2 linked regions of the Tribolium castaneum genome follow. The protein of the gene in region 1 interacts with the protein of each later gene in a biochemical or structural test. Links are inferred from orthologs where the notes say so. Each region holds a gene or a part of one and is shown on either strand. Other genes may lie near its edges.

The links.
Region 2: of the proteins of CYLD (region 1) and mib2, one has a biochemical effect on the other in vitro, tested with the Homo sapiens proteins (2 studies listed by BioGRID, with this or other methods). The link is inferred for Tribolium castaneum from reciprocal best matches to the Homo sapiens genes CYLD and MIB2.

What each region holds. Positions count from the first base shown.
Region 1 is NC_087398.1:4,982,724-4,985,178, reverse strand, and holds the end of CYLD (ubiquitin carboxyl-terminal hydrolase CYLD), read left to right. Parts: coding exon 1-189; intron 190-234; coding exon 235-667; intron 668-715; coding exon 716-1,054; intron 1,055-1,105; coding exon 1,106-1,302; 3' UTR 1,303-1,818; downstream 1,819-2,455. Other genes in the region: Membrin (probable Golgi SNAP receptor complex member 2), read right to left, coding at 1,941-2,442. UniProt on the Homo sapiens protein: Deubiquitinase that specifically cleaves 'Lys-63'- and linear 'Met-1'-linked polyubiquitin chains and is involved in NF-kappa-B activation and TNF-alpha-induced necroptosis.
Region 2 is NC_087398.1:7,200,797-7,205,299, forward strand, and holds the start of mib2 (E3 ubiquitin-protein ligase MIB2), read left to right. Parts: upstream 1-1,547; 5' UTR 1,548-1,767; coding exon 1,768-1,825; intron 1,826-1,869; coding exon 1,870-2,037; intron 2,038-2,160; coding exon 2,161-2,332; intron 2,333-2,385; coding exon 2,386-2,687; intron 2,688-4,469; coding exon 4,470-4,503. Other genes in the region: DNA repair protein XRCC3, read left to right, coding at 1-184; heat shock factor protein, read left to right, coding at 558-1,436. UniProt on the Homo sapiens protein: E3 ubiquitin-protein ligase that mediates ubiquitination of Delta receptors, which act as ligands of Notch proteins.

The sequences.
Region 1 (2,455 bases):
GTGGCGCCCCTTTGCATGCCCACTGAGGAAGACGTGGAGGCCGTCTGTGGCAAATTCCGGGGCATTCAAGGGCACCACAATTCCTGCTACCTCGACGTCACCCTTTTCTCAATGTTTACCTACACAGCAGTATTTGACAGTTTGTTGTTTCGGCCCAAAGGTCCGAAAGATATCCCCGATTATAACGAGGTTGATTTTTCGTATTTTTCGAAAACAAATTAAATTGTGTTTTAGGTCCAACGAGTATTACGTGAAGAAATCGTAAATCCGCTCCGAAAAAATTTGTTTGTTCGTGCCGATCGCGTGATGAATTTGAGACGTTTATTAGATCGATTAAGTTCGGTGTCCGGTTTAACGAGCGAAGAGAAGGATCCTGAGGAGTTTCTCAATTCGCTTTTGGCGCAGATACTTAAAGCCGAGCCGTTTTTGAAGCTTAACTCGGGTCAGGAGTCGTTTTATTATCAGTTGTTTGTGGAGAAAGACGCCGATTTAACGTTACCCACAGTACAACAATTATTCGAACAAAGCTTTCTCACGAGTAACATTAAATTGAAAGAAGTTCCCTCTTGTCTCATCATACAGATGCCGAGGTTCGGGAAGAACTACAAAATGTATCCGAGAATTCTACCGTCACAGCTTCTAGACGTGACTGACGTTATTGAAGGATGTAAGCGGAAAAACTCTCGTCACTCGTGAAATAATAATTGTTTTTTAGCTCCTCGTCAGTGTATCGTTTGTGGCAAACTCGCCCATTGGGAGTGTCGTGAGTGCTTTGATGATTGTAGCAACGCCGGGCTGGAAAGTACGGCTTTCTGCTCTATGTGTCTCGAAAAAGCCCACAGACACGAACGGAGGTCACACCACCGCCCCGCTGTGAAACTAGATGTCTGTGATGATTTCTCGATCCTTGAAGATCACTGTCGTCCTCCTCGACTTTTCATGGAACTATTTGCTGTGATTTGTATTGAAACTTCCCATTATGTAGCTTTCGTCAAGTGCGGAGTTGGCCACGAGGCGCCGTGGTGTTTTTTCGATTCGATGGCGGATCGTAAAGGTGTGACACCATCTCGCGGCCAAGATATAAAAATTCACGAGTATTTTTCAGGCGAGAAAAATGGGTACAATATCCCGGAGATGGTCGCATGTCCGGATATTTCACGATGGTTGTCGGACGAACGGATCTGCCGCCAGTTACACGAGGACTTCCCCCAAGACCGTCACCTACCCGAACACGCGCGCAGGTTGTTATGTGATGCTTATATTTGCATGTACCAAAGTTCTGACGTCATGATGTACAGATAGATTTTTTCTTTACGACTGATATTTTTAGAATATTTATTTCTGTTTAATGTTGTATAAAGTATAGAAATTTTGATTTAATTTGTTACGAAAACACTTAACCTGATTTAAGAATTAAAATATAATGCTTGTTATATTCAGTATTGTTGTTAACTATATCACTTTGTTATTCTTCCCGGAACTGTAGGAACTATCATGACAATGTGCCTTGCCTGCTGATCTAACAATCTTCTATTTCAAGTATACGTTTGAATCGTATGTCGGCTTCATTTTTCACAAATACAAAGTGATATGGGCATTTATTAAATTTTAAAAGCGATCCCGTTGGATCGGTACGATTTTTCCCTGTCTATAAATTAACTAGAAATCGTACTGGCTCAAATAACCCCACCACATAAATAGTTCACACTTATTAATTTAAAACTATAAAATAGACTTATCGAGTATTTTTTGTAGAAAATTTATTTTTATTGTTAAAGAACGGAAAGAGGGACGAAATAAATTCTAGCAATCAAACAACCACGCATTTTCTTTACCCTTCACTGCCAATCCCAAATATTTAACCCAACCAAAACGAATTAATTTTTTATTAATAAATCAAGATTACATAATTCACAACAACCAGGGAATGTGTCACCTCTCTATGTAAAATACACAATTACAAAAACAATCACTAAAAGCGTAATCACGATTCCCAGTATCAGTATATATTTGTCTTCACCGGCCCTTTTCTCGATTAGTCTCATTGTGTGGTTACTCAGCCCCAGCGTATTAGCCATGTCCATAATGCGACGATGTGCCCCCTTCAAAGTCAGTCTTTGCGACCTAAGCGACTCTAACGCATTAACCCCCGTGTGTAGCATTTCGTCTACACCTCTATGAGAATTCTGTAATGAATTCTGGTGCTGTAACGCATAGTCTATATTGATGGTCGTCAGATCGGGATTAGGGGCAAACCGGCGATTCAACAATTGTTCCCTTTCATTAATCGCAGCCTCTCGTCGTGCCCTTTTCTGTCTAGAGGCCACTAGGGCCGCCTGAAGGTGCCTTGCATCATACTTCAACTGATCGCAGCGCATTTTCGCGTTAGGTCTTTGGTCGATCGGGACTTTATATAAATAAACATCGAGTTTTTCACAATTACTGCAATAATTTA
Region 2 (4,503 bases), about 2.2 Mb from region 1:
AACAACAAATGTCACTGAACCTTGCCTAGGGTTGGCTTGGAGTAACTGCCTTACGTATCGTTTCAATATCAACAGATTTGTAAATACTAAAGTTAGAGAATTTGAAGTTGTTTTTGCACCAGACTTATCAAATCAAACTTGTAAGTTTACCATTACAGGGGAAGGTCTAAGACCTGTTGCATAGTCATGTTACTTGTAATATATGTTCTAATAGAATAAAAGTGTTTTTGTAAATAGAATATATTTTTTTGTTTGATTTTAAATTTGCTCAAGTGCAAAGATGAATTAAACAGTGAACTATTCAAGTGACCTGCTCTCGAATTTTTTGCTCTTTTTTACTTCTGATAATTGAAATAAAGTGAAACAAACGAATAAGTAAGTACTTACAGTGTATTTGAAATAATAATAATAATTCTGCAAAAACTAGACCAGCTGTTTTACAATGCCATTGTTTTTGTTTTCATAAAAAACTATGGTATCAGCAGAAAACAGCAGAGATATCTATGCCGGCAAAGAGTCATTAATTATGACAGAAAACATTAGCAAAATTAGACGAGATGGAGGAAACTGCGAACACTGTGTCGCCTTTTGTGCTCAAGCTCTGGAAGATGATAAGTCACCAAGAAGCAGCAAACGTAATAGTGTGGAGCGATTCTGGAGATAGTTTCATAATCAAAAACCAAGCCCTCCTCATCACGAAGCTCCTGCCTCTCTACTTCAAGCACAACAACATGGGGAGTTTCATTCGACAGTTAAACATGTACGATTTCCACAAAATATGCGTGGAGAGAAGCAACGAAATGGAGTACAAGCACCAATATTTCCAGAGAGACAAGCCAGACCTCTTGAAGAACATCAAACGGAAAACACCGCTAAATAAGACATGTAGCCGAGGCAGTTGCGAATTGGTAAATTTGTCTTCGGAAATAACAGCCATAAGGAAACAACAAGACGAAATATGCGCACAGATAAATGTGCTCCAGCAGGAAAACGTAACACTGCTCAACGAACTGAGCAGTTTGCACGCGAAACAGAACAATCAGAACACGATTTTGAAGAACATCGTGCAAGTCTTGATGCCGTTCTTCGACTTATCGAAGAACAAAAACGAGGTGAACAATGGGCCCAAGTTCTTTCACGTATGCCAGAGCGTGCCACAAATCGAAGTGTTCAATAAAAATGCTTCTACTAACAACTGGATTGATAAACGCTGGATTTATCAAGAGAAGCAGTTGTGTGCGCCCCCCAGTGAGGGCCAAGGCGGCGAGACGTTGTCCAGAGACACTCTTATTGACTTGGACAATGAGCTCTCGAATATTATTGAAACAGAAATGTTGGATAATCCATCTTTGCTCATCAGTCACGACCTGAACCAGGATTTTAACTTAGAAACTGGCGTAACTGATGATAACTTTAAGACTAAAGTAGATTTTTGATTGTTAAGTTTCTTTGAAATAAATTTTTTTCGTTCCATTCAAATTTGGCACTGTTCCGTGTGGTCTGGTTGGCACCCATGAGTAACACAACCAACCTACGAGAAATGAACAATCGTACCTGTCAAAATTCAACAATAATAAACAACTTTCCACTTGCCAGTTGAACGCTAACGTGAAATTGCAAAAAGCGAGGCGATTTAAAATGACCCAATAATTAAAAAATCGGTGCGCATTTCGCAATCGCCAAGTTGTGTGTGGTGGAGCAGTGCCAGTGACTCAGGGGTTAATACACCCCTAAGCTTTCCATGGAATAAATTAATTCAGATGCGAGATGTTGACGCCTGGTGTTCGGATCGTCCGTGGCCCCGACTGGTCTTGGGGCAACCAAGGTTCAGTGGCCCAAAGTTAGACTAGGGTTAATTGAATTTTTCAGATGGGGGTGAGGGTTTCGTGGGCACCGTGTGCGAGATCGGCAAGTCTGGGAGTGTGGGGTCCCCTGATAAGACCGCAGTGGTCCAGTGGGACAACGGGACGCGGACGAACTACCGAGTTGGCTATTTGGGCAAATTTGACCTCCTTGTCATTGACAACGCGCAAATAGGTAAATCGCGATAAATTAATAAAACAGCGATAATTTTGTTATCGGACACCATCGATGTGTAGCAATAACAGGAGGAGCAGCCTTGGAACTTATTAGAAATTCTGCTAATTATTCCATTTCTAGGCGTCAAGCATCCTAACATTGTTTGCGATGGTTGCAAAAGCCAGGGCATTTGCGGCATGAAATACAAGTGTTGCGTTTGCTTTGATTATGATCTGTGTTATATGTGTTACCACGGCGATAAGCATGATCTTGATCACACTTTTAAGCGGTTTGACTCGGCCACTGCCTTGGGGTGAGTCAATTCGTTAGTTATTGTGTTTTTCGGTAGTAAAAGTGGTTTGTTAGAGTCGATTTGCCACCCCGACAGAATGGGCGAAAATGCGAGCTGAAGGGCATTTTTGTGGGGGCCAAGGTGGTAAGGGGGTACAACTGGGAGTGGGGGAATCAGGATGGGGGTGATGGGAAAGTCGGACGAGTTTTGGATATTAGAGGGTGGGATAAGGAAAGTAGTCGCTCTGTGGCTAATGTTACCTGGTTGTCGGGCTCGACGAATGTCTATCGGCTGGGGCATAAGGGCGATTGTGATATTAAGTTTGTTGAGCCGGCTAGTGGAGGGTTTTATTATCCCGAACATCTTCCAATTTTAGGTGAGTTAGTTTGTTTGAAACGAAAAAATTTGAAACCAACCGTGTGTAATTTTTGAAAAAAATATACATACGTTTTACTAACTAATATTGCTTTTAAACTATGTTAATTATTTCAACAAATTTGAATTTTGGGTTAGCATTATTCAACAAGGTTTGGCGTCAAAACCTTCACGAATTTTTTGTCAAATAATTTATGAAATTCGTTGACATCATTGGAAAAGTTTCTAGTTGTTGCGTGCACTAAAAATTCGTTTTGTTCTTGCTCAGCTTAACAATTGAATATTAATTGGTTTAGATAACTTTGTAGAAATTTTTATTTGTATTTTAAACGGACAATAAAACTGGAATGTTGGTAATCAAATTAATTAATTGCATTTTAATTCATTGCAATCTTTTCTGCGGTCTATTTTTTACAAATATATAAGTGAGGCATGTGGCTTATTTGTTATTTTATTTTGATATTTTTATATTTCTTTCTTTTCGTTACGTTATGTGTTCCTCTTATTCCTTTTTAAAAACTTTTCTGTTGGTTTGGACGAAATCTTTTAAAATAAGTTTCTGACTAAAAAAAGCTTTAATAACATCTAACAGTAACGCACAAAATTCAGGTAAATTCAGGTTGTTTTATTTTTTAAATGCTACATTTCGACGTTTTAGTGACATGATATCAATTGTTTTTGAGTTGTGACGTCATTTTTAATTTTTTAGTGATAACTATTCAATGTTTTAGATAATACACATCCTTATCTTTCGGATAATAAAAAAATAATTAAAAATTAATAGTTATTTAATAACAAGGGAATTATAAGGATTTTTGTGACCGTGGACTACGGATTTACTGTCCAGAGGGCCATTAGGTCCGAGGGCTCTAACGGACAATACATTGCCCTAGGATATTAACACCCAAAAATTCCAGTGATAGATAAACAATTTTATTTTTTACTGAAATAAATTTCTGCAAAAAATAATAAGTTAAATGATTGAAAAAAAAAATATTGAAAGAAATTAAGGAATTAATTCCACAAGGGAATTATAACCATCTTTATGGTTACTTTATTTAAGGCAATGTTTGACTACTAGACTAACTAGATTAGTAAGAAAAAAATAAATAAATGCAATACAATAAAAAATATTGACAATAATTAAGCATAATCTTCTTGTTTTTGACTTATTTTATAAGTGGCAATTGTATTCGTATTTTTGTAAAATTATCATAAAAACATTTAATATGACACCTAAGCACAAAAAAGTGTACAAAAAATCGTTATACAATAAAGCAAGAACGAAAAAAAAAGCTCTTTAATACTTTCAATAACCATTTTTTCATAAATAACGTAAATTCAGAGCGCATTACTAATTAATACAAACACCATTTTTGCATTTTCCTTTAATTTTTTGAAATACATGGGGTTCTATTTAATCTCTTTTACTGCTAATTTACTACATTTTAAGTTACGGTGACCTCTGTGGCTACAGCCCGTAACAACGTAACATTTCAGTAATTTCGTCAGTGACTGATAAACATCAAAAGTTATTGCAAATACCGATTTAAATAATTATATAAAATATGAAGTCATATTTTAATGTATTAAGATTACGGTTTGATACTTATAAAAAAGTGGCCTAGTTTTTATGGTGGTTTATAACATAATTTAACAATTTTTGTTTGCTGATGTGTTGCATTGATTTATTATGCAATGAAAATTGTTTTGGATTTCCTAAGTTTGTCGATCCACTTTTTCAAAATTGTTGTGCAAATATAAATATTTAAAAATCGTCCAGGGCACAACATAGAGCAAGCGGTGGCTCGTCCAGT